Linked DNA regions of Caenorhabditis elegans. The protein of the gene in region 4 purifies or fractionates together with the protein of the main gene of each other region. This does not show direct contact. Each region holds a gene or a part of one and is shown on either strand. Other genes may lie near its edges.

Evidence for each region.
Region 1: the proteins of cya-1 (region 4) and W04C9.6 fractionate together in Caenorhabditis elegans (co-fractionation; one large-scale study listed by BioGRID). This does not show direct contact.
Region 2: the proteins of cya-1 (region 4) and Y71G12B.13 fractionate together in Caenorhabditis elegans (co-fractionation; one large-scale study listed by BioGRID). This does not show direct contact.
Region 3: the proteins of cya-1 (region 4) and pygl-1 fractionate together in Caenorhabditis elegans (co-fractionation; one large-scale study listed by BioGRID). This does not show direct contact.

Annotation. Positions count from the first base shown.
Region 1 is NC_003279.8:483,516-490,272, forward strand, and holds W04C9.6 (MFS domain-containing protein), read right to left. Parts: upstream 4,878-6,757; 5' UTR 4,476-4,877; coding exon 4,443-4,475; intron 4,388-4,442; coding exon 4,279-4,387; intron 4,213-4,278; coding exon 4,072-4,212; intron 3,335-4,071; coding exon 2,952-3,334; intron 2,105-2,951; coding exon 1,866-2,104; intron 1,762-1,865; coding exon 1,638-1,761; intron 1,488-1,637; coding exon 1,392-1,487; intron 1,344-1,391; coding exon 1,273-1,343; intron 795-1,272; coding exon 611-794; 3' UTR 524-610; downstream 1-523. Other genes in the region: W04C9.9 (Zinc finger protein), read right to left, coding at 355-365; W04C9.2 (MICOS complex subunit MIC13), read left to right, coding at 5,101-5,208, 5,253-5,318, 5,367-5,429, 6,185-6,256; haf-4 (ABC-type antigen peptide transporter), read left to right, coding at 6,536-6,687.
Region 2 is NC_003279.8:1,700,476-1,708,133, reverse strand, and holds the start of Y71G12B.13 (RING-type domain-containing protein), read right to left. Parts: upstream 6,030-7,658; 5' UTR 6,012-6,029; coding exon 5,985-6,011; intron 5,563-5,984; coding exon 5,446-5,562; intron 4,173-5,445; coding exon 3,648-4,172; intron 2,474-3,647; coding exon 2,379-2,473; intron 2,337-2,378; coding exon 2,129-2,336; intron 799-2,128; coding exon 244-798; 3' UTR 1-243. Other genes in the region: lsm-6 (U6 snRNA-associated Sm-like protein LSm6), read right to left, coding at 6,436-6,556, 6,650-6,762; ubc-3 (UBC core domain-containing protein), read right to left, coding at 7,347-7,456.
Region 3 is NC_003283.11:3,577,179-3,585,141, forward strand, and holds pygl-1 (Alpha-1,4 glucan phosphorylase), read left to right. Parts: upstream 1-1,963; 5' UTR 1,964-1,989; coding exon 1,990-2,043; intron 2,044-4,208; exon of another isoform or gene 4,209-4,219; coding exon 4,220-4,900; intron 4,901-4,952; exon of another isoform or gene 4,953-5,024; intron 5,025-5,141; exon of another isoform or gene 5,142-5,213; intron 5,214-5,275; coding exon 5,276-5,497; intron 5,498-5,553; coding exon 5,554-6,110; intron 6,111-6,416; coding exon 6,417-7,374; intron 7,375-7,434; coding exon 7,435-7,611; 3' UTR 7,612-7,864; downstream 7,865-7,963.
Region 4 is NC_003281.10:9,106,186-9,110,965, reverse strand, and holds cya-1 (G2/mitotic-specific cyclin-A1), read left to right. Parts: upstream 1-1,693; 5' UTR 1,694-1,763; coding exon 1,764-1,787; intron 1,788-2,053; coding exon 2,054-2,368; intron 2,369-2,417; coding exon 2,418-2,537; intron 2,538-2,582; coding exon 2,583-3,019; intron 3,020-3,069; coding exon 3,070-3,252; intron 3,253-3,333; coding exon 3,334-3,712; 3' UTR 3,713-4,267; downstream 4,268-4,780. Other genes in the region: dos-1 (Delta and osm-11 homolog protein 1), read right to left, coding at 4,282-4,313, 4,359-4,429. UniProt on the Caenorhabditis elegans protein: Involved in the control of the cell cycle after S phase. May bind to and activate cdk-1 and/or cdk-2 to promote cell cycle progression. Necessary for embryogenesis.

The DNA.
Region 1 (6,757 bases), on a different chromosome or scaffold from region 4:
CGAAAATTAAAAAAAACAACTCAATTGATAGTAAATTTTAAAATTAAAAATTATTTTTCTGGTTTTTTTTTCTCAATTTTTGCAAAATCAAAATTATAATCAATTTTTAATCCAGAATTCGTCAAGTGGCCTAGAATTCTACTGCGTGGCCTAGAAAATTCCACCAAAATTTAAATTTTCCAAATTGTAAAAATGCTCCAAAAAGTTGAATGGTGGCCGAGGTTTTTCGTTTTTCACTTTTCACAGCTACGGAAAAAAACTCGGCCACCAATAGTTTTTCCTAGGCCATGTTTCAAATGCCCTATTTCTATGTTAATTACAGTATTTTCTAGACAAGATTTTAAAAAAACTCACGAATAGCACATGGAGCTCTGACACTTGCTCCCACCAATACAAAATTCCGAATTTTTTACAAAAAACTGCAAAACTATAAGAATTTGTGGTAGAAATTGGGGCATTTACGTAATAATAATAATAGAAAAATGTCCGCAAATTTTTTTTCATAAATTTCATAGGGAGGAGGTAAGCTTCAGCTAGAAGCCATTCAATTTTATTGGGGCGCCGAAAATCTTCGGAACACTTTTACAATTTATACAGTAGTGTACAACTTTTACAACTTAATAATATCTTCAATACTTCCAGAATATTCTTCTTTTTCCTCCTCAATTGCCACGTCATCATCTTGTAATCTGGTCCATTTTGCTGGCGAGGCGTCGGCAAACAGGCAGAATATAGTATTTACGAAGAGAAGTAAGCCCGCATGCGCCAGGAAACAATTACGCCAGTCTGTGAATCTGAAAAAAATAATCTTGTCTTTTAGGGGACCTACGCCTGCCTGCCTACGTCTGCCTTGCAGGGGACCTTTGCCTACCTACTTGACTACCTTCAAGTGAGACCTATGCTGGTTTGCCTGCATTTTTGTCAGTGCCTTCTAGGCCTATGCCTACCTTACAAACTATGTAGGTCAACTGCCTGCTTTCAAGGTGGCCTAGGTCAGCCTACATGCTATCTACGTCTACCCCAATGTACCCTGTGCCTATCTACCTGCTTTTAATGCTATCTGCCTTTTCGATAGTCTTTTAGGGAATCTACGCCGGTCCAGCTCACATAGGTTATCTATGCCTATGCCTTCCTGCCTGCCTCCAAAGTGACCTACGCTTACCGTGTTTTTTTTTCTAGACCGTATATACCTACATGCCTGCCTTTAAGTTTACCTATGCCTGCCTGCATTCCTCATGCCTGCGTGCCTACATGAATACCCTAAAAACTCACGTATCATCAGTAACAATCATATTGACGAAAAACGGTTCGATGAATATCGTGCAAGCCCAGATGTTCATGATCTGGAAGAGAAATCGTTGGCCTAAAAATTTTCTCGGCCACCCCCTTACCTGCTGCATTGCGAAATAGGCGTACTGCTGGGAGTGCAACGTGGCACACTTGTTGAATCCCGCCGTATTGCACCCCATCACACTTTCGGCGCAAATCTGGAATGATGGAAGAGAATAGGAAAACTAGGCCATGGATGTATGTGCGCTATGTTGATAATCGGTTATTTTCAACGTGGATTATCAATTGAGCGCACTTGTCCCACTGGAAGAGTTTTCCTATCTAGGCCACCACCACCACCCACTCACCATTATAATAATAGCCAGCAAGTGTTTTTCCTGTGGAATAAATGCTAGAACGATGAAAAAAACGGCGGCCACGGCCAGAGCGATTGTGTTGAAAATTTTAGTTTTCAGAGTTTCTGAGATGAATCTGGAATATTGATTTTTGGTGGCCGTAGAGAGGAAAAACTCGGCCACTGATTTTTTTCACAATTATAAAATTATTTTTCCAGGAAAAACCCCCGAAAAACTCACTTAATATAATCACTAATAATTCCCGACGATAATTTCGTAAAAAATTGAAAAATAATGGGTAAGGCGGCCAAAAAACCGGACGAAAGTACGTCATAGTTCAAATAATTTTTCATATATTGCGGATTGAATTGGGATACCAATTGAACTGTTATCAAATCTCCAAACGATGCGATCCAACAAGCCCACAGGCTTAAACTTGTCAGAATATGACGGAATGGAAGATTTTTTGGCCGGGATACCTGCAAAACGAAAAAGTAACGGGCTTCGAATTTCCCCCCCCATGTTTTCAAATGGAAGAGGTGGCCGTGAATAAAGCTAACCTCGACCGGGGGTCGCGACTCGCGACAAACGGGAAAACTCAAAGAAATTTCGTACTGTCGCTACTTTTTTTGAGTTTTCCTGTTTGTCGCAGGTCGCGACCCCCGGTCGAGGTTCGCTTTTTTCACGGCCACCTCTTCCATTTGAAAACATGGGGGAAATTCGAAGCCCGTGAAAAGTTAGGCCATGCAATGCGATGTGGTGGCCGAGGTTTTGAAAACTCGGTTACTCTCATGTAAAAAATCTTGAAGTTGAAGCAAATTTGCGTACATGAAACCCATTTACCTTGCTAGCAGTTTTAGAAAAATTTGGGATTTTCTCATACTAATGAGGGAACGTCTTAATTGTCGACAAATTGCGTACCCCGAGGAACCCACTAATTCAGTCCTAGGTTTAGGCATAGGCTAAGGCATAGGCTTAGGCGTAGGCCTAGGCTTAGGCTTAGGCTTACACGTGGTGTCAGAGTGCCTCATTTCGGCTTGATCTACGTAGATCTACAAAAAATGCGGGGGAAGAGCCGCAGAGTTTTCTACTGATTTCGCATGGTTAAGAGTGTGCTGACGTCACATTTTTTGGGGCAAAAATTCCCGCATTTTTGGTAGATCAAACCGTAATAGCACAGCCAGGCACCACGTGCGCTTAGGCTTGGGCTTTCCGTAGTCCTTCGGGCGCGTTTTTCTCAAAAATGATACGTGGTACAATTTCAGGTTTTTTTCCGCTCCAAAATCTAGTTATAATTTGTGTCCGGTAGAGCGCGTTTGCACTCACTTTCTTTCCCGATTTCCCTTCTCGAATCCTCTCCAATTCCTTCTCGCCAACCCAACTGTGCTCACTCGGCGAGCACTTGAAAAATAGGAAAAACAGCGAAAAAGTGACCAACGATACACCGGCGTGCACATAGTAAACCGACGTCCATCCACCAGACGAAGAGCATAACCATCCCGAAACTGGCATTGTAAATATATTTGAAAGTTGTGTATTTCCGGTTAATAGGCCAATGAATACTCCGTGCTCGTATGGGGTCGCCCAATTTGCTGTAATTGAGCCAGCGAGGGGAAATGTGGCTGAAAATGCCATTCCTTGACAAATACGGGCGGCCACAAACCATCCGTAGCCAATGGTACTTGCCAACGGGATAAGGGCTGTTGAAACTGGAAAAATTGAGTGCAATACATCATATTTGACGCGCAATTTTAAAATTTAAAAAATGGAAACGCGCTCTAATGATGCTTGGTGTACTCCTCTCGGACAATAAATGTCAATAATTTTTGAAAAATCGATAATTTTTTTTTAATTTCAGAAAAATTCGTGAAATCTGTTTTATTTTGCGCGTAAAATATGATTCTTAAATACTTAATTCAGTATTTTACGCACGTGGTATCAGAGTGTCTCATTTAGGCTTGATCTACGTAGATCTACAAAAAATGCGGGAGAAGAGACGCAGAGTTCTCAACTGATTTCGTATGGTTAAGAACGTGCTGACGTCACATATTTTCGGGCAAATAATTCCCGCATTTTTTGTAGATCAAACCGTGATGGGACAGCCTGACACCACGTGCTTACGCGGAATTTTTCACAATTTTTTGTGCTTCATGCACCATGTTTTTGTTTCGAAAAATCAGATTATTGTTTTGCGCGTCAAATTCAACGCCCACTGTGCAATACACCATATTTGACGATCAATTTCAAAAATTTTGTATGCTTTCGATGCATGCTTTTTGGGGTACTGTAGCTTTGAAAATACGCATGCACTGGATCTGACGACAAAATGCACAGTTTTTATAAAATTAGTCTATAGAAATTAGTCAGTTTTCTCGAAACAAATAAAAACTACAGAAAACTCGGCCACCGATATTTTTTTTTTTCGCGGCCACGATTGACGTCATACCTCCCGAAATAATTCCGGCGACAATGAAGACAGGTTTATGCGGCAAATGTTGAAAAGAAATGGAAAATGGAATCGAGGCGGCAAGACTTCCAATAGCCACACACGATTGAAGAAAATTCGACTCTGATTTGGTATAGTTCACTGAAAAAATCAACTATTTTGGCGGCCGCCAATGGAAAAACTCGGCCACCGAATTAAAAAAAAAACCTTTTGAAGTTGAAGTACTATTATCATCTTGCATACAAATTTTTGTAAAATTATAAGTATTCATATTTGAAAGAATCGAGGTCAAACACAGTGTGGCACATATTAAAATCTGCAAAAAAATCGTGAAAATTCAATTTTCCGGGGGTTTTGAGTTCAAAAAGTACCAGAAATCGGACAGGAACCGGCGAGTTGACCATGGTGCATCAGAAACCGGAATTTTAAATAAGTAAAAAAATTTATGATGCTCGTGGTGATAACGAAAAGTGCAGTGATCAATTTAAGGGAAATACTGCTGGGGGATTAAACGTTGACACTGTCAACTTGATAGTGTTAATTTGATCAATGCTTTGTACTTGTTTTTTGCAGGAAAAATTCTTTGAAAATTGCAAGACTATAGTATAGTCTGAAAATTTGATGAAATCTAAAACTTTAATAAATACCGTTAATTATCATTATTTTTATGAAATTTTAATATAATCTACTTAAAATTTAATTTTCTAGGCATCTGTGAGCTTAAATTTTCGATTATCCCTCGCCAAATTAAAGATTTGCAGACTTTTAAGCTTATAAGCTTATTTCAGTGAGAGAGAGCATTGTGAGAAGAGAAACGCAGACGAGGCTGGCGCGTTTCTCGTGCTCTGACGCGAGTCTCGATTTGCTTGCGCATTTCTCGTGCGCGCGACGTTCATTTTATTTTTCCGATTTTTTTTCAGTTTTTCTGAACTTTTCTTCTTGAATTTGTGATTTTTTATTTATTTTTCACGTCTTGTTGCAAAATAACTGATTTTTCACACAAAATATTCGAATTTTCAGGTCGGCAACATGGGATTCTTGTGGAAAACTGCAAAACTCGGAATTAAAGTTGGACTCGTCGCCGGCGCCGTCAAACTGTCAATCGATAACGATATTTGGTCGACTAACAATGTTAAAGTATTAGTTTTCCCCCGTTTTTCCACGAAAATTTTCATTTTCAGGGCAGCGAACTGTATCAAAAGCTTAAAAAGTACATTCTTCCCGGCACCGTCGTCTTTCCAGAGCAGGTTTTATCGATTTTTTCTCTGAAAATGCAATTTTTTTCTTATTTTCAGCTCCCAACAGTCGAAGATGTGCAGCTGAAGGCCGGTGGAAAGTGGAACAGTGCTGTTGACTCGGTAGGCTGCATTTTTGAGAGGAAACACGGAAAAATTGCTGCGAAAGTTGGAAAAAAGTCCTGGAAAATGGAGATTTGGCGCCGAACGTTCAAGAAATTCCATAATTTCAAAAATCTATCTGAAAAATTGAAAAATATAAATTTTCAGTCATTTTTAGTCAAATTTCAGAGCTAAACGTCGAAAAAAGTGCCTAAAACTAGGAAAAATATGACAAAAAGACACAAATTTTGGAGAAAATTGCTGAAAATAATGCAAAACACTTTTTTTCACAAAAAGCGAAATTCAAAAAAAATTCCACGTCAAAAATTAACCAAATGCAAGTACGCTCCATCGCACTTTTTTCCAATTTCTGACTCGAAAAGTCTTAAACTTCTGGTTTTGTAGGAAAGATAATGCAAAACGCAATTTTTAGTCCAAAATTCAGAGAAAATTCTGAAATTGTTTTTAAAAAAAATGCAAGCACACTCCATGGCACTTTTTTTTCAAAATTTCGCGTAGAAAATTACAGACATTAGCAAAATTCCGACGATTTCGCTGCGAGACCAGAAATATTGTAGGAAATTCAAACATTATCCGAAAATAATGCAAACGCGCTCTATCGCACTTTTCTCCAAGTTCCCACTCAAAAAGCATAGAAAATACCTGAAATTGCCGTTTTTTTTCACCGGAATTTCAAATTTACGCGATTTCGCTGCGAGACCCAAGCTAGTGCAGTGGAGCGCATTTCCAACAATTTCAAACTCAATTTTTTTCAGGTATTCACCACAATCGAGAACGTCCCATCAAGCGTGAACACAGTGGCCAATCGACTCATCAATAATAAATAAATTCCCCATAAAAATTATCGATTTATCGATTTTCCCCCCGAATCCTCGTGTATTCCTTCGTTAGAATGTACTTTTTCCCTCCTCATTTTCTAGAAGTATTTGTGTGTGTGCTCTATGAAAAAATTTGCAATTTTTGACTTTAAACGGACGGTGCATTATATTATTTTATCAGTTCCCATCGTTGATCAATTTTCTCCACTGATTATCAATTCACTGATAAGCTCACACTGCCTGCCCAACTCAATTCATCGCAACTTCTTCTCCCTGCTTTTTTTTGCCATGAATTCGACGGTGGCTTCCCGTTTCTCATGGGGACTCATTCTGGCGTCGATCGATTTTTTGGCGTGCCTACTGTTCGCCTGCCTGCATGATGGAACTTTCAAATTCGCGAATTTTACTTCGCAATTTGGCGATTTTTCGTTTTTTACGAGGTTCGATTGATTGGTGGCCGAGTTAATTTTAGGCCACGAAAAATGAAAATTGAAGCCGAGTGTCATTTTC
Region 2 (7,658 bases), on a different chromosome or scaffold from region 4:
ACATTGCCGGAATTGAAAAATTCCCGCAAACAGAAAAATTGCCGATTTGCCGGAATGGAAAATTTCCGGCAAATCGGTAATTTGCCGGAATTGAAAATTTCCGGCAAATCGGTTTTTTTTTTAAATTTTTCAGGGAATTTATTTTTTTCAGGGGAAAATTTTGCTAAAAATCCGCTATTTTGCCAATTTCCATCTAAAAATTCCAATTTTCAAGTAAAAAAGCGGGGGAAAAAACGAGAAGAATTAAAAATCAAAATTATCATTAACAAATTCCGAGTTCTCCTGAACATTAAAACCCGTAAAAACATCATCATCATCATTCTCAGGCTCCGCTTCATCACCCGAATGCTCTTGGGGCTCAAAATCGAGGTGTTGCTCCATAATCGGAGCTTCTTCCAATCCGAGAAGCATCGCCTCCAGTGGATCAGCCGGATCCAGTGGTGCCGCCTGATGATTCTGAGCATCAATTCTCTCGTAGAGATCGTCAAATTCAAAGCCCCAATGAGCATCTGGCTCCTGGTGCTCCTGGTACTCCGGCTCTTCGTCATAATTTCCCACATGGAATTGCACAGGCTCCGGCTCCTGCTGGAATTGAGAAGCTGGAGCTGGAGCCGGAGATGGTGTACTCGTCAAGGATCTTGCCGTTTCCTCGTCACGTCGAAGCTTCTTGTTCAGAATTCTCGCAGAAACCGATTGATGAATCGTCTGCTTACGGGTTTCCGCTTTCAGTTTCTCCGAGATTTTACGATCCTCTTCGATTTTTCGACGCTTCGCCAGGCTTGCCAGGCTGAAGTTGCGCTGAAAAATGAGGAAATTAGCGTCTTTTTTTTATTTATTTTATTAATCAAAAAAATATTATTTACGCGCAGCAAAATTTGGACCGAAATGAAAATAAAAAAGAAAAATTCAAGTTGTTCTGTGTAAAAAATCGGAAAAAATCAAATTTTTGTGGAAAAAAAAATTGGAAAATTCGACTTTTTTTGACTAAAAGATCGGAAAAATTCAAATATTTTGTAGGAAAATTGGCAATTTTGTAAAAAAAATCGAAAACTGCGTAATTTTAGGAAAAATCGGCATTTTTTGTATTTTTCAGCGAATTTCGAGAAAAATGTCTGAAAACAGAAACCCATAAATTTCGGAAATTAAATTTAAAATTTGATTTTTTTGAAATTGCTTTAAAGCATGCTTATGATACCACAATAACCGAATATATCATAATAAAAAAATTCAAAAAAAATTTTTTTTTCTAAATTTTATATGATTTTTGAAAATTGAAAAAATCTCAGTTTTCCCCCTAATTCCTATTTGAATTTCCGCCAATTGAACTCGTTCGTTGGAGCGCGCTTGCATTGTTTTCATTAATTTTTTAAAATTTATTTTCATTATTTCACTGATTTTCTTCATTTTTTGGGTGTTTTTAATCGGAAAATGAAAGAAACATACAGGAAAAATGCAAAATGTTTATTAAAAAGTAACTGAAAATGCCTAAAACTGTGAATAATACTTATTTCAGGCTCGTCATCGTCGGATCGTATAATTTCAGAGTTTTAGGCATTTTCAGTTACTTTTTAATAAACATTTTGCATTTTTCCCGTATGTTTCTTTCATTTTCCGATTAAAAACGCCCAAAAAATGAAGAAAATCAGTGAAATAATGAAAATAAATTTTTAAAAAATTAATGAAAATAATGCAAGCACACTCCATCGAACAAATTCAATTAGCGGAAATTCGAATCGGAATTAGGGGGAAAACTGTGATTTTTTCAATTTTCAAATATCATAAAAAATTTAGAAAATTTTTTTGCATTTGTTTTACCATGCTATTCGGTCATTATGACCCCATAGGCGCGTTTTAAAGCAATTTTTTCGAGAAAAAAAATTATTTTTTCATGTAGATTCTGCGAATTTTTGAATTTTGGCTAATTTGTGTAAAGTTTTGCAAAATCGTCGCAGGAAAATCAAATTTTTGGGTTTTTATCGAATTTTTTTGTTTTTTTATGCCAAATTTTTTAAAATTTTGCAAAATCTTCGCAGGATAATCAAATTTCTAGGTTTTTCTTCGTTTTTTCGGCCAAATTTTTCAAAAATTTCCATGATTTTCGTCATTTTTCCTCTTCTTCAATCCGTACCATAACATTGCCAACTTTCTCTCCGACAGCTTTCTTAATTTGTTGCAAATCAATTCCAACACTTTTCAGCAACTCATCCGCATTTCCACTTCTCGCCACCATTTTCTCTTCTACAGTGAAATTAATCATTCGACGTCGGGCAGTTTTCCAATCTTCACGAGTTATTGATTGTAGACAATTTTCAATGTCTTCTATCCGATAGGGAAGTCTAAAATTATCGATTTTTTGCCATTTGTTGAGCATTTCCAACCGTAAAGCCGCTCTTGAACGCTTATAGGTCATCGGAGTACGCTGGAAGTAGTGAGCATCGAAAAACTCCTGCATACGACGGAATAATTCGGATTCCTGAAAAAAAAAATCGATTTTTGGGAGATGTTAATGAAAATTTTTGCGTTTTTTTCGCAGTATTGAGCAAAAATTCGAAGGATTTCACCCAGAAAACCCAGAAAATCGCGATTTTTTTTTCTTCCAATTTTTTGATTATCGAAATTTCCGTTTAAAAATTCGAGAAAATTCGAATTATCGATTAAAAATCCAGGAAAAGTGTAATTTTCACTAAAAATTCGGGAAAATTCAAATTTCCAGTAAAAAAATCGGGAAAATTCAAATTTTCGCTCAAAAATACGGGAAACTTTGAAGAAATTCAAATTTTCATTCCAAAATTCGGCAAAACTGAAATTTTCACTAAAAAATTCGGGAAATTTCAAATTTTTGCTAAAAAAACTCGGAAAAACTCAAATTTTCACTAAAAAATTCGGGAAAATTCAAATTTTCTTTAAAAAGTTCGGGAAAAGTCAAATTTTTGCTAAAAAATCGGGAAAACGCAGATTTCCGTTGAAAACTTCGAGAAAATTCGAATTTTCAACTAAAAATCCAGGAAAATTCAAATTTTCACTAAAAAATTCGGGAAAATTCAGTCTTTTGGTAAACATTTCGAGAAAATTCAAATTTCCGTTGAAAACTTCGAGAAAATTCAAATTTCCGCTTAAAAATTCGAAAAAAACTCAACTTTTCGCTTAAAAACTCGGGTAAATTCAAATTTTCGTTAAAAAGTTCGGGAAAATTCAGATTTCCGTTGAAAACTTCGAGAAAATTCAAATTATCGATGAAAAATCCAGGAAAATTCAAGTTTTCACTAAAAAATTCGGGAAAATTCAAATTATCGATTAAAAATTTCGGAAAATTTAAATTTTCGCTTAAAAATCGGAAAAATTCAATTTTTCGCTTAAAAATTCGGGAAAATTCAGATTTCCTTTTAAAAATTCGAGAAAAATCAAATTTAGATTTAAAAATTCGGGAAAATTCAAATTTTCGTTAAAAAGTTCGGGAAAATTCAAATTTCCGTTTAAAACTTTGGGAAAGTTTAAATTTCAACTAAAAAGTCGGGAAAATTCAAATTTTCGCTAAAAAATTCGGAAATAATCAAATTTCCGTTTAAAAATCCAGGAAAATTCAAATTTCCGCTTAAAAATTCGGGAAAACTCAAATTTTTTTCAGCTCAAAAGTTCCAAATTTTCACCTCCATATTTATAATAGTATTCGACGCTTTCGAGTCGGCCGCAACTTTTTCTATCAACGAAGCCCACGATTTTCCAGAATCATTAAGCCGTCGCTTAATAGTCCTACACGGCCTGACGGCCTCTTCTTCTTCAATTTCCACATCATCAATACTCTGATTTTCAAGCTCAGCTTCTGCCGAGCAAGACGTTGAAGGGGTATTTGTATTATTAACAGTTTCGGAATGAAGACTTTCAGCTTTTAGCCTATTCTGACCACTGGATTTCTCAGAAATCGTAGTCGTCGTCGTCGTCGTCCCGTCCAACGAGTTTCTGGCGGCTCGATTTTCAGAATTTTCAGAATTTCCAGCCACTGATGAGCAACGGGAGACCGGTCGAGAGTTGGCGAACGTCAGGGGATACAGATATTGATATTTCTCGGGAAGCTTCTCAATGCGTGGCAGGGGAATGCATTTTTGACGCTTTTGGAAGGCAGTTTGGACGACATGATAGACGTGTGGAGGCATATCCATTGGGAATTGACATTTCTGCAAATAAAAAATAAATAAAAAATGATTAAAATCGGCAGTTTTAGTTTTTAAAAAAGTCGTAATTATGCACGCTCTCCTCAAAGCCGAATAATTATTAGAGCGCGCTTGCTGCGCTTCGCATTTCTGAATCCGCGGTATTTTGACTTTCCACTGAAAAAGCAGATATTTCAGATTTATCGAATTTTCTAGCTTTAAAAAAAATTTTTCTCCAGTTTTCGAACAAACCTTTTGTTAAACAGTGAAAATCGAATTTAAAATGACTAAAATGAACTTTTTTCGTCCACTGGCTGTGAAATGGTTTGAATTTGAAAAAATTAACGGGATTTTTCTTATTTTCTAAATATTTTTCTATTAAAATCGGTTTTAAAACATTTGTGACTTTTAGGGTCAAAAAAATGGGTTAAAACCGATTTTTAATAGAAAAATATTTAGAAAATAAGAAAAATCCCATTGATTTCTTCAAATTCAAACCATTTCACAACCAGTGGACGAAAAATTTCATTTTAGTCATTTTTCGATTTTCACTGTTTAACAAAAGGTTTGTTCGAAAGATGCATTTAAAAAATTTTAAAAGCTAAAAATTCGATAAATCTGAAATATCTGCTTTTTTCAGTGGAAAGTCAAATTACCGCGGATGCAGAAATGCGAAGCGCAGCAAGCGCGCTCTAATAATTCTCCGGCTTTGAGGAGAGCGTGATTATGAAATATTACTGAAAATTAATGTTTTTTAAAATCAATTTCCGGTGAACTTCCGATGATTTCGACGATTTTTCCGCCTCAAAATTACTCGATTTTCACAAAATTAACTAAAAATTGTCCGTTTTGTTGAATTTCAAGTTCAAAATTTGAAAATTCTGAGGAGACATTGCTTTAAAACATACCTATGGTACCACAATGACCAAATATCATAGTAAAATTTTTTTTAATGTTCTAAATTAAAAAAAAAATTTACTATGATATTTGGTCATTGTGGTACCATAGGCATGTTTTAAAGCAATTTCCCCACAGAATTTTCAAGTTTTGAACTTGAAATTCAATAAAACCGGAATTTTTTAGTTAATTTTGTGAAAATCCAGTGATTGAGGGGAGAAATCGTCGAAAACATCGGAAATTCACCGAAAATTGATATAAAAAACAATAATTTTCAGTTAAATTGCTATGAAAAGCTGATTTTCTCCGTTCATACGAGCCAAAACAACCTGAAATTCGATTTTTAGCTCGATTTTTGCCTGGTTTCCCAATATAAATTCAGTTTTTCATGAATTTCTACCTGAACAGCCTCACATATCCACCAAATATTATCGGATCCATTGGGTTCGGTGCTGATGAGCTCTGGCTTGAGCTGTTTCGTCTTACATCGCGGACACTTGAGCCATTCGCTTTTCATCTGAAATTAAATGAGTTTTTTGATGGAAAATTCGAAATTTTAAGGCTAGAAACGAGCACAAAATGAGCACACAAACGCTCAAACTTTGAAACTAACTGTTTTTTTTTCAATTTTCGGAAAATCGATGGGGGGACAGAAGACTGATGGATTTCGTGCGACGTCTCTCTCTCTCTTGCTCTTCTTTATCTTCTTTTGGTCTTTTCACTATGAAATTAGGTATAGTTTTTGAATGGTATCATTTGAAATGTGCGATCACATATCGGGCGGCAGAAAACCGCCTAATTCTCCTTTTCCAGTGCGGGTGGAAAGATCATCGCAAGGCGGTTTAGCCTTAGTGTGATCGCATATCATTACAAATTATCACTTACCACTCGGAGAGCAAAAGTTAATCAGTTTTTAAATCAAAAAAAAAATCAACTTACTAAGGCGGGAAGTGGTCCGGGTGGCATTATCCTTTTGAAAATTGTCTGAAAATTGCGATTGTTGCAGTGAAAGTGGCACAAAAATACGTAGAATTCGAAATTTGAGTTGAAAAATCGAAAAAATCACCGGAAAAGCTCGAAAAATCGATGAAAACGCGATAAATTGACTTAAAAATGTCTTCTTTTTTTCGAAAATGCTTCCCCGTAAATCGAATCGTGGTGAGACCCACCGCACGTGACGCATGACCGCGACGCGTCTAACGGTGAGGAAACCCAAGAAATTTCTCGATTTTTGCTGAAAAAGCCTGTTTTCGAGCGAAATAACTCAGATTTTCGGCGAAAAAAAAAACACAAATTTATTCGAGATCCAAACGTATCAAACAAGAAATTTGCTCAAAATAGCTCAAAAAAGGGAAAAATATTTGGAAAATAAATCGAAATCAAAAAAAAGTTATTTCGTCGATGTGGAGATGTAGAGCACATTGTTCCCGCGGATGAACGCATCGCCGTACTTGTTCTGAAGTTGTCCGTTGCTGTATTCTTCGGTTTGTTCGAGCGCGATGTTCATATATCTGAAAAATTAGATTTTTTCGTAATTTTTCTGGAAGAAAAATTAATTTTCAGGTGTTTTTAATCAGATTTTTTGATTTTTCCCAATCACTAACCCGTCGAGACATGCGAGAATGCCACGGTAGTCGACGCCAGAGTTGAGCTTCACCACAACCGGCTTTCCGATGACTTTCTTCAGGAATTCGGCGGGATTCTGTCGTTTGCTCATTTTCTAGAGTGCTGAAATTGAGAAAAAATATTACTTTCACGGGTTTTTAGAGTAAAAATATGTTAAAATCAAGAGAAAAATGCGTTAAAATTGCGATTTTGCTTCAAAAAAAATTATTTTCTACAGTGTCCGCAAACACCGTGACGCAAAAATGCAGACTTGCGAAAAAAATGTTTTTTTCGGATTAAATCGACTTATTTTTTGAGAATTCAACTCTAAATCTGCAATTTTCCGAGACAATTTAGAAAAAAGAAGGCTTCATTTATAGAAAACAAAAATAGTTGAAAGTGCACTGTGATCAGCCTGTGTGTGTGTGTAATTGGACAAAAAAAACTGTTTCCAGACGAAAAAATATTGAGTATAACACAAATATGAATTGATAGCTGCTTGGGAAGGGCAAAAGTGTACATATAAATGCATTGAGAAAAGGACTAGTTGAGTCGGATTTTGAAGATTTTTTGTTTGAAAGAAGCGCCAAGATTTCGTGGTATATTTGATATGAATTTGAATTTTTCTAGGTTGGAAAATTGAGAAAATTGAGAAAAAAAATGGGGAAAAAATTATAGAAAATTAAAAAAAATTGACTAATTTTCTCCTTGTCCCGAATCCTCGTCATCATCATTATAGTCCGAGCCGCATTCGTCCTCGTCCTCCTCCTCTTCATCGTCGTCATAGTCACACCCGAAATCGTCGTCTGAAAAAAATCGATATTTAATTGAAAATTTGGCAAAAATCCGGGTTTTTAACTGAAAAATCCAATTTTCTCGGGAATTTTACAACTAAATTTGCGAAAAATAGACTTTTTTTTGAGGTTTTTGAGGTCACGGGGTTCTGACCTTCCTCATTGAATTTTTCGCGCTCCATTGACAATCGCCCGCCGGAAAACGTGTGGGAAA
Region 3 (7,963 bases), on a different chromosome or scaffold from region 4:
TGCTCGGTGCGCTTGTGACCCCCTATTTATTTTTTTCCGGCTCTGGCTTGGTTCACAGTTGGGCTATTGAGCCTGCTGGGGGTGCCTGATTCTGTTCAAGTTGGCCTAGCATCCGTGTTTGTGTACTGTGAGCGACGAAAAGAAACAGCGAAATGTTCGCTTTTTTTTTTCTAAAAAAGGCAAAAAAATTGAGGATAGGCCGCGCTGCACACGAAAATGCAATCGCGCTCTAACGTCAAAGCTCCGCTCCTACAAGTTGGGTCTCGTTAGGTATCGGCGGTAAAACCGTAGTTTCAAAAAATTTCAACTATTTTCGTCGATTTCCAAACATGGTGTCAAGATGTTCCATAGCGACTTGATCTACAAAAAATAAGGGAAATTTTTCCACAGAAAAATTACCTCATCACACTCTAAACCATGCGAATTCAATTAAGAAATGTGCGTCTAAATTACCGAAGCGATTATTTTTTATTTCATAAAACTGTTCAGCATAATCAAATATACCAGAAAATACCAAACAACATACTCTAGCTTGTACGGAAGTTTATTTTAAAAAATTTCAAAACTTAACCAAAAGCTGTTATATTCAAAAATTCAAAAGTACGGTAAAATGGTATGGAGTCATTCTTTTTTATTTCATAAAACTGTTCAGCATAACTAAGTATACCAGAAAATACTAAACAACATGTTGTTAATTAAAAAAGACATTTTTTAGCAGTTTTTCTTCAGATTTTATTACGGACACACTAAATCCTGAGAATGCGTATTGCGCAACACATTTGACGCGCAAAATATCTCGTAGCGAAAACTACAGTAACTCTTTAAATGACTACTGTAATGCTTGTGTCGATTTACGGGTTTGATTGTGTCATCACTGTCACTGTTCGAAAATAAAATCATTTCGAAAATCGAGCCCGTAAATCGACACAAGCGCTACAGTAGTCATTCGAAGGATTACTGTAGTTTTCGCTACGAAATATTTTGCGCGTCAATTGTGCTGCGCAATACGCATTCTCAGGATGTAGTGTTCCAGAAATATCTAAAATATAAATTTATTTAAAAAAATAAATTTTTAGCAGTAAAATTGAATTTTTTTAATTGTATTAAACATTTTAATAATATTTTATTATTGAACTAGAGGTTGTTTCATGAAATAATTTGAAATAATTTTTTTTTTCAATTTTTTCGAAAAAAGGTAATTATTTTTGAATTTCTGACGATAATTTAGCGATTTCTGGCTTGAATCACCTTTTTCTTTCAAATTTTCAGACTTTTTTTCCGGAAAAAAAGTAAAATCATCGATTTTTACGCCAAATTTTTTTTTCTAGTGGTATTTTTTTTCTAGTGGTATCAATTTTCCTTCACGCAAAAAATATCTGAAAATTAGATGAACGGTGTTTTAAGTGTTTTAAATCGAAAAATCAAAACAAAAACAATTAATTTTGACAGAAAATGGGAAAAAGTCAAAACGTTTCATTTATTTGCGCAGGAATTCGAAATTAATTCATCCACTTTTCTTATATACTTGCAAAATTCTTTTTAAAAAATCATTAAAAAATTGAGATAAAAAGTTTTTTTTCAACAGTTATATTATGTTGTTACGGCCAATTTTCTATGCTTTGAAGCAAGTTTTCAATATAATTTGTTCTAAATTTGATCTTAAATGAATTTTCTTTAAAATAATCTGCAATTTTTAGGAAAAACTGTTTTTCAAGCAAGAAAAACTAAATTATTTATTTATTTTTAATTAAATTTAAATTCAAATCCGCTACGGCGAGTACGGTGCGCATCGGTGTTTGCGTACTCGCCTACCGTACCCTCGGTGTTGTTGGCGCGAAAATTTTGTTTTCCAATTTTCAATCATGGCGCCAATTTCTGCATTTTCGGTGCAATAAACCACTTGTTTTCGTCAATTTTTTGATTGTCTTCTCCAAATTTTTATCAGTCATTCTTCACTGTTCACCTTCGTAGCCGCCGGTGACACCGAAAATGTCGGATATTGCTGCTCGTTTTGGATTCTTCAACTGGAACAACGTGCGCCCGGTAAGTAATTCGCTGATTATTTCATGCTATCAAGCTTCTTCTTCATCATCTGCTTCATCTGCTTCATCTCTTCATAAGCCAGAAAATCATAAGAAAAAAAACAGCGAGCAGGCAGGGATTTAAGTGAGTGTGTGCGTGCAAAATGGGGAAACGGCCGGCTGAATCTTGCCGAAAAACACGTACGCTTCACTTCAGGCTTCTCCTTTTCGCTTCTCGCCGGCACACACACACACACACACACATGTCAGTCTACTTTTCCCGCCACTTTTCTTCAGCCCATCCTCTTCCTCTTCTATAGGACTTCGGCTCCCAGCTCTCGTTTCACTGGTCATTTCATTTCATAAGCGACGGTGAAAATTGGAATCTATCGAACCTATACGCCTCAAGAATCGTTCACCTTGCCCCCTCCAGCTCGTCGCGTTGTTTGTGCGGTGATTGGTCCTCACTGTACATATACAGTGTTCAAAAAACGGAAAAATACCCGTTTTGTTGTTCTGCTGCACCGCCCGTCTTCTCATTGATATCATAACAGGAGGCGGTGATGATAAGAAAGTCGGGAAATTAATATTAAAGCTTCTAGAAACAGATTTTTCCTCGCCAAAAAAAAAATAAAAAATCTCTTGATTTCTTGGTTTTTCAATTTTTCAATCTTCAATCTCGTCATCTTCTCGACAAAAAATTTGAATCTCCGCCTGCTTCTCTCTCTCTCTGTTTCCCTATCAGTGTCCGTCGGGGTCACACACAACATGTATTTTTCTCTACATCTCTGCTTCTCCCAGAGTTGTTTTCCTCTCCTCACATTTTACACACACGCTCACAAACCCCTTCGCATCCTCTCCCCATCCATTTTTTTTAGATGGCTCGGGCCTCTATGCTCTTTTTTCGATTCCACATAAGCGTGGCAGCTCCCCGAAAGTTTTCGGAACTTTTTTTCAAATTTTCTCAATTTCCAATGGCATCGATCATTCACGTGCACACACTCGTCTCAGTTGAAAAAGAATTGATAAATCGGCAGTGACAAGAATTGTTTATCAAACACAAAGCGGCCATGTCTACCGATAGTCTTTTCCATATTCGAACAGATTTCCGCAAGATTTTAATTAATTAATTCGAGTTGACAGCACAATCTTTGAAGATTCGGTTTTGCGACAATTAAATGCTTTTCTTTGACAAAATCATAAGTAGAAAAGCTTTAAAGTTCAAGCTTCAGGCTAAACAAAAAAGGCTGTGAGCAAAGAACAAAGTCTTCCGTAGCCCAGAAGAAAGTGCCCCTCACTTTCATTAATTTTTTTTTCGATTTTCTTGGGCCGACCGGGTGATAAAAATACACCGAAATATCCTGTCGTCGTCTACTGATTGTTGTTTTATTATCACTTACGCGTTATCAGTTTATCGGTAGTTTTCTGCATGTTGACTGACCGCCGACACGGTCAACACTGATATTATTCGACGTTTTAGCCTGATCAGTTTGAAGCGATGCATTTCACTCCTCAATGATCAGCGAAAATATTTTTTCTTCGATTTTTTTTTTGGTTCAAGGAGGAATGCTTGCTTGTATAGGATCAAAACTTCGCAGAAAATTACTAATTTTAGCTAAGATCCCCAGTTTTGCCAGCTTTTCCGTGTCGCAGTGCTCAGAGACTAACTTTTATTTGATTATCATCTTTTATTGCATATTTTCATCACTTATTTCGTTGATTGAGGCATTTTTGGTCCCTTATCGGCTTAAATGCACCTAGATCAATGAAAAAACGTTGGATAAATGCCCAATAAATGATGTTAATCAAATAAAAGCTAGTTTCTGCGAACTGCGACACGGAAAAGTTCGCAAAACTAAAGGTTTTTGCGGAAATTTGCGATTTTTTTGAAAAATATAGCAAATCCACGTGGCTTTCATACTTTTTTCAAAAATCTTTCATCTTGGAAATCACGGGGCCGGCCCCTGCTATCAATATTGATTGTTGACTGATCACTGAACTGCCCCCCTCCTGTTGACTTTGTACTGCGTCGACTACTATCTCGCAACACATTTTGTTTTCTGGCCTGACTCGCCATTGCCTGCAGTGTTCGAAATTTTTGTTTGTCCACCATTCTTATCACAGTAGCCGAACAAGTTATAATTTTCACCACTTTCCGCTCATTTTTTCTCCCAAAAAAACCAATTTCCAATTTTCAGCAGCCCGTGGTTGCCGAATCGACTGCCTCATCGTCGAGTCCGAAGCTGTTCAGCATGATCACCAACGATCACGATCGTCGCAAGCAGATCTCCGTGCGCGGAATCGCTCAAGTGGAGAACGTGTCGAACATCAAGAAGGCGTTCAATCGCCACCTTCACTTCTCGATCATCAAGGATCGTAACGTGGCCACCGATCGCGACTACTACTTCGCGCTCGCCAACACTGTCCGCGATCATCTCGTGTCTCGCTGGATACGAACTCAACAACACTACTATGACAAGGATCCGAAGCGGGTCTACTATCTGTCGTTGGAGTTCTACATGGGGCGAACGCTGTCGAACACAATGATGAACCTCGGAATTCAGGCGACCGTCGACGAGGCGCTCTACCAGCTCGGTCTAGACATTGAGGAGCTTCAGGAGATCGAAGAGGACGCCGGGCTCGGAAACGGAGGACTCGGACGTCTCGCCGCGTGTTTCCTCGACTCGATGGCCACGCTGGGTATTCCGGCTTACGGATACGGGCTTCGCTACGAGTACGGAATCTTCAAGCAACTTATTCGTGACGGATGGCAGATTGAGGAGCCAGACGATTGGCTTCGCTTCGGAAATCCATGGGAGAAGGCTCGTCCAGAGTACATGCTTCCGGTCAACTTTTATGGAAAAGTTGTGAAGGAGGATGTGAGTTTTGATTTTTTGGAGAAAATTAAATTTAAAAAAATAAAAAAGGAATGGGCCGAACTGGGGATTGAACCCGGGACCTCTCGCACCCAAAGCGAGAATCATACCACTAGACCATTCGGCCATGTTTGGAAATCGTGTTTGGAAGCAATCAAGATGCACAATAATCGATAATTGGCTGATTGCGAGAAATAATAAGATTCGATATCTCTTCATCACCAGCTTTCACGTATCTAATCGTGGCCGAATGGTCTAGTGGTATGATTCTCGCTTTGGGTGCGAGAGGTCCCGGGTTCAATCCCCGGTTCGGCCCATTCCTTTTTTCTTTTTTTCGCTTACTTTTTTTATTTTTCATTAAAAAATATATTATTTCAGGGAAAATCGAAATGGATCGACACTCAAGTTGTGTTTGCCATGCCATACGACACACCAGTCCCCGGATACAAGAACAACATCGTCAACACGCTTCGTTTGTGGTCCGCCAAAGCCGAAAATCATTTCCACCTCAAGTTCTTCAACGACGGAGACTACGTGCAGGCTGTGATGGATCGTAACTTGTCCGAGAACATCACTCGTGTCCTCTACCCGAATGACAACGTATGTTTGAGCTAGATTTTGGCAGAAAAAAAAAATCAATTTCCCCACATTTTCAGATGTTCCTCGGAAAGGAGCTCCGTCTCAAGCAGCAATACTTCCTCGTCGCCGCCACCCTCCAGGACATCATCCGCCGCTTCAAGTCCTCCATCTACGGAAACCGCGAGGCCGTCCGTGTCAACTTCGAGACCTTCCCGGATAAGGTGGCCATCCAGCTCAACGACACTCATCCATCGATCGGAATTCCCGAGTTGATCCGTCTCCTCATCGACGTCGAGGGACTCACCTGGGATCAGGCCTGGGACATTTGCATCAAGACCTACGCCTACACCAATCACACCTTGCTCCCAGAGGCCCTCGAGCGCTGGCCAGTGTCGCTTATGCAGAATTTGTTGCCGCGTCATTTGGAGATCATCTACGAGATCAATCAGAAGTTCATGAACACCATCTCGCAGAGATTCCCAGGAGATTTCGACCGTATGCGTCGTATGTCGATTGTCGAGGAGGCCGATCAGTTCGGCGAGAAGCGCATCAATATGGCTCATTTGTGCATTGTGGCTTCTCATGCCATTAATGGAGTCGCGGCTCTTCACTCGGATCTTCTCAAGAGCTCCACGTAAGCGAAAATGCTCTGAAACCTGGCGCTAGAACCAATGGGCGACGCATCATTTTGCAGCTCCGCCGCACGAATTTATTTTGGCTGTTTTTCGCATGATGTTTTGAAAGATTTCGATATGTGAACTCGATAAAATCACGAAAAATTGATAATTTGTCATTGAAAATTCGGACAGAAAGAGAAAAAACATCGTGCGGCGGTGTTGCTAAATCGCGCGCCGCAAATTGCAATCCCGGCCCGCCCAATTTTTCTTACGCGCAAATTGCAAAATTACCATTTTAAAAAATTAATATCATCCATTTCCAGCTTCCGTGACTTCTATGAGTTCTACCCGGATCGCTTCCAAAACAAGACGAACGGAATCACACCACGCCGCTGGCTTCTTCTCTCCAACCCATCTCTCGCCGACCTCATCGTCGAGAAGATCGGCGAGTCGTGGATCACCAATCTCGACGAGCTTCAGAAGCTCAAGGAGTACGCCAACGATGCCGGGTTCCTCGATTCGATTCGTCGTGTGAAGCTCGAGAACAAGCAACAAGTCGCCCAGTATTTGAGCGACGAGTACAATGTCAACGTGAACGCCGCTTCGTTGTTCGATGTGCATGTGAAGAGAATCCACGAGTACAAGAGACAGCTTCTCAATATTCTCCACGTCATTGCTCTCTACAATCGTATCAAGGAGAACCCGAACATCGATATGGTTAAGCGTACCGTGTTGTACGGAGGAAAAGCTGCTCCAGGATACCATATGGCTAAGCAGATCATTCGTTTGATCACCGCCGTCGCCGAACAAGTCAACAATGATGCCATCGTTGGTGATCGTTTGAAGGTCATCTTCCTCGAGAACTACCGTGTCTCGATGGCTGAAAAGATCATTCCAGCTTCTGATCTCTCTGAACAGATCTCGACCGCCGGAACCGAGGCTTCAGGAACCGGAAACATGAAGTTCATGTTGAACGGAGCTCTCACAATCGGAACTCTCGACGGAGCCAACGTTGAGATGGCCGAGGAGATGGGCGACGAGAACATCTTCATCTTCGGAATGAACGTCGAGGAGGTTGAGGCGCTCACAAAGCGCGGATACTCTTCGCAGGAGTTCATCGACAAGAGCCCAATGCTCAAGCAGATCATCGAGCAAATCGAAGGTGGCATGTTCACTCCAGAAGATCCAGATCAGCTCAAGGATCTCTCCAACATGCTCCGCTATCATGATCGTTTCATGGTGTGCGCCGATTTCGACGCTTTCATTGAAGCCCAGGATAAGGTAAAACTCAAAAAATTCAACTAATTCAAATTTTTACTGATCAAAATAAATTATTTTCAGGTCTCCGCTACATTCCGCGACCAAGAGAAGTGGTCTCGCATGGCCCTCTACAACATCGCCTCGACCGGAAAGTTCTCAACAGATCGCACAATCACCGAATACGCTCGTGAAATCTGGGGAATCGACCAGTTCGAGAGCTCTCTTCCAGCACCATATGAGAATGAGAAGAGCGAATAATTCTTCTATGCACTAACATTGTAATTAATTATCGCCATAACTTCCCCTCCTCTCCGTCCCATTTAGTTTATAGCATTTTTATAGAAGCCTTTCCCTCCCCCGATAATTCTTGTGAATCTTCAAGATCAAATTGATTTTGTCCTCTCTGCCCCCAGTCCAATAATCGTACTTCCCCCGAATGTGTTGCCATACTTTGAGATTGTCTATTTGCACGTCTGCCCTGCATATTTATGATAAATTGACTGAAAATATCAACTTTTTTTTTTTAATTTTGACTCGAATCTGCAAATGCTGAAATTTAATTAAAAATTATGGCTGTCTGAAGGATCTTCAAAGAAGTTTCGATACCTCT
Region 4 (4,780 bases):
TTTTTTTTTTGTTAAAGTTTCACTTTTCTTTTTTTTTTTCCGGATAAAACTTATTTTTTGACAACTTTTAGCCCCTCAAAAAGCTCTGATAAAAGGCTTAGACGTCAGGTCCCAAAATTGAAAAAAAAAGTTCCAAAATTTTTATTAATTTTTTTGTTTCTTTCTTTGTGAAGTTTTTTTTTGTAAATTCGATGAAAATCGAACGTTCCTTATGAAGGCACCCTTAAAGAATACAAGCTGGAGTAAAACCAGTGAGAAAAGCGGGGGTGTGCAAGTGCGCTCCGCTGGCCGGAGTGATTCCAGGTGTGCGATTCCGTTAGCGTCCAGAGGCTTAGAATCTAAAGCAATTGTGCCACATTCTCCAAATTTATAGTAATTTTTATCATCGTCTTGCTCGACCCGCTCCACACTGATAACAATCTCTTCATTTTATTTTTTCCTTCTTCTTCCCGCCGGCGCGTAAATGTTTACAAATGGTGCAAACTCTCTGGGAAACTATCGATGGCGCCTAGAATACCACTAATTAGTCAAGTGGCGCGCAACCTTGGCAAAATCGTCAATGCCAATTTCTACAGGGTAAGCGTGACGAAGCAAGGCGATTTCGATGTCTAATCTCAGGTTAATATCTCAACCGTTATTTTCTCCAACTTTCCACCCTTTTTGATGTTGTGAACGTCGAGATTCCTGACTCTATGACATTCTTTTGAAGTTCCGTATTTTTGGAATATTTTTAAAAAATTAAGCTCGCGAATTCACAAAACTTTCTCAAGGTTATAGAACATTAAAACCCTAGTGAGAGACATATTACTGCTAGATGAGTTTCAATGTTTACCTTGTTTGCAGGTCCCACGCGGATTCTAAAGTCTAATGTGTGCCGATGTGTCATAAAAAACAATAAGAGCAGAGCACCAACAAGCCATGTTTGGCTCCATACGTTTCTTCCATTTTTCTATCGATCAGTTCAGTAGGACCGCTTAAGAGCCTATATACATCTCGTCATATTACCAAAGGCCGGGTTGCGTAATGGATTGCGTTGAACGTTTCCCCCCCCATCGAGGGAGGTCACCATTGCTTTCCACACACCAACACCACACTTTACCTACTAGTTCATATAACTTTTGATATTGATCCAACAAACATTGAAGCAAATTTTGCATTATTTCTCTCTGTCATTCACATTGCTCGGAGCCAGTAATAAGAGAGAGCAACAGGTGGTCTTTCTCCAAAATGAAGATCGCCGAACAGATATTACATATTGCCTGCTCGATCTAATCCTTATATGTATGCCGTTACACGTTATTCAAGACAATTTACCAATCTAAATGTTGTCCCATCTGGAACAAAGAGCATGCCATCTGAAGCATTAGATGGGAAACTGCTAGCAACAGTGACCCCTCCTCTCTCTATCTCTCTTCACCGTCTGTCCTGCCTTGAATGGTCCCTTGCATAACCGTACGCATTGAGCACCTTTCCGCAACATATCGATTAGTCTCTCTTTCTCTAATTGGTTTTCTTTCTCCAGTCATACCATTTTTCATTATTTGAAACTTAATTTCAGTTAAGGAATTAAAAAAAAAATCATTAGATTTATTCTATTTTGTTATTTACCTTTTCCCTTGCCTCATTCTTCGCTGTCACGTGTTTATTCCTTCGCCTGTTTCCTTGATTTTGAAATTAAATCTCTTTTTTACAGATTCCGACACAGCGCACGCGCCTAGGGACCAATTATCAAGCGCTTTTGAGAGCAGCAGATCGCGACGAGTATGCGGTCGGCACTTAGTTTGAAGGTAAGTATTTTCTGAAATTGTAAAAAATATATTTACAATGCGACTGTCAAATTAGTTACATTTATTTATTCGCGATCTTTTTTCAAATTTTCCGCATTTTTCGAGCTCAACTTTACCGAGCTGGTGGAAACAATTTTTTCCGATTTCTGATAAAAATTGGTAAGTGGTGAGTGCGTGAGACGCTGGTTTTTTAACAGTCAAAATGAATTCGATTCCTTTAAAATTATGTTTTTTATATATAATTAATAATTAAACCTATATTTCAGCCGAGCAACGGAAACGCGGCGAAAAGTCAAGCAGTGAACAACAAGAACGTGATCAAAAATGCACCATTGGGAGGAAAATTGACACGTCAAATTGGAACCAGTAATTTGCTTCAACAAGCTCTACCAAGCAAGAAAATAGATGAATCACCAATTATCAAAATAGATGCAAAAGACAGTTTTAAAGTATTTGAGGATCAGGAGCCAGAGAAAGAGAATTCTTCTGAAAATGTTGATGCAACGGAGAAAGATTCTAACGTAATACCTGCTGAGGATAACAATATGATACACGAATTGGAACGAAAGATGGAAGAAAAGGTTAGATTTGAACTCAAAATTGTAATTGTTTATATACAATTTTTTGCAGAGTCGTGCAGAAAAACTGAAGTTCAAGTTCATGCAGACTCGAGACAATAGTGATATCACCTCAAGATTCTCAGAACCACCTTCAGAATTCTCTGTTTTATGTGATGACGACGATTGTGATGTGAGACCAAGAAAATAATATCAGAAAATTGAACTTTTCTTTCAGAAAGTCTCCGTCGCCTCTTCAACCTTCACCACAAGCGTCCGTGCAACCTTCTCATCATTCCATTTTGATGAAAATCAGCGCAAAAAGGAATTTGGAAAAGAAGAAGCTGTGAAGAAGATTCAAAAGAAAGCAGCGAAGGAAGCTCGTGATGATTCAATGTTCAGTTCTGAAGAATTTTTCCCTGACATTATCAAGTACATGTTACACCGTCAAACGAAGAATCGAGCTTCACACGAATGCTTTGACATACAATCACAAGTTAATGAAGAGATGCGAACAATTCTCATCGATTGGTTCAGCGATGTCGTGAAAGAGTACAATTTCCAAAAGGAAACATTTCATCTCGCTGTGAGCCTCGTTGATCGGGCTCTTTCAATGTTCAACATTGATAAAATGCGATTTCAATTGGTTGGAACGACGTCGATGATGATCGCAGTGTATGTTTTTAAATAAAATATTTCAATTGAATGTGAATCTCAAATTTCAGGAAATACGAGGAAATCTTTCCGCCAGAGATTGAAGACTTTGCTCTCATCACTGACAACACCTACCGAGTTCCCGACATTCTTTTAATGGAGCGATTCTTGCTCGGAAAGTTTGACTTCGTTGTTGCAATGCCCACATCATCTTGGTTCGGAACATGTTTTGCCAAGAGAATGAACTTTACAAAGTGAGTTTTAATATCATCATTTTTAGCTCCTGTGAAAAAAATTAGCGATCTTTCTCAATTTTAAACGTTATTTTATTACAGAAAGATGCGGAATACTGTTCATTATCTCCTCGAGTTGTCGCTGATAGATGTCCATTTTCTACGTTACCGCCCATCCGATATTGCAGCTGCGGCTTGCTGCTTTGCAAATCTCCAGGCTGACGTTGAATCCTGGCCACAAAAAATGGTTGACGACACGGGAATCAGTACGGAAGATTTTGTGGACGTGCTGAGGGATCTTCACAGGATGTACCTGAATGCATCAACGGCAGATTTCAAGTCAATATTCTACAATTACTCGGAGACTGCACAAATGGAAGTGGCCCTGTTACCGGCACCTACTGACAAGCTTCGATCGATGTTCCCATCGATCTTTGTCACCGCTCCAAAATCTTCCAACGATAGTAGTAGTCCCCAGTAAATAATCCATGTTATATTCTTGAATTCTCCAAATTTCCCGACTTTCAATTTCATTCCCTGTCTTTGTTTGCCTTTATCGATTACATCTTCTAAAATTCTCCTTTTAAAACTACGATTTTATGTAACAATTCTTTGTATTTGTATAACTCATCCCGACAGGAATCGGAACATACACGGATATGATCCGATATTAAAAATTCCTTTTTTGTGTTATATGTAATAGTATTATCAGTGCTCTCCATCCACCCCCTTATCTGGCTGTTTTACAGCTTTTTCTCCAGTTTTCTTATTTATTTATGATACTCCTGGCTTGGCAACTATGATCTATGATTCCTTTTTGTTCCGAGCCGTAATTTACGCACTGCGCTCATTGTTTTATATTTGTTCCACGATCTCATCTCGTAGTTGCTCTCCCCATCGTTCTTTCGTTTCTCTTTTTCAAAATGTAAATCTAAAAATTTTTATAATCATGATATCAACTGAAATTTTATATTATTTATTGTGCTTTCCAAATGTTAGAAGATACCTTCTTTGTCAAATAAATCTTTTAAATAAAAAAAAACAAATAGTTTAACCGTGATAGTTCCCGTAGTTGGCGTATTCTGGAATTGGAAAATCATTCAATGAATCTGAAAATTGAAACTTACGAGAAACAAAAGCGTCTGCCATTTCTGGATCAAGCTCCTCGATATATGTAGAACAAGACATGTACCAGATTCTGAAAAAAACACTTAATCGAATTAATTAAATTTTTGATAAGTATACGGTAGCTTGTCTCGACTCGACAATTTAAAAAGTAAATTGCAAAAAATAGCGTGCGCCTTTAATAAATACAGTAATTCCCAAGTTATTGCTGCATCCCAATTTTTAGGATTTCATTTACACTAAAATTTTAAATGCAAAGTGTTAAATGAAAAATAGAGACTACTGTATTTTTTAAAGGCACAGCACATTACCCAAACGCGAAATTTTGTGATACACGACAACTTTTGTTAAATGCAAAAAGGAGCGCGTCTTTAAAGGGTACTGTAATCGCAAAACTGTGTATTTGCGAATTTTCCATCGAATT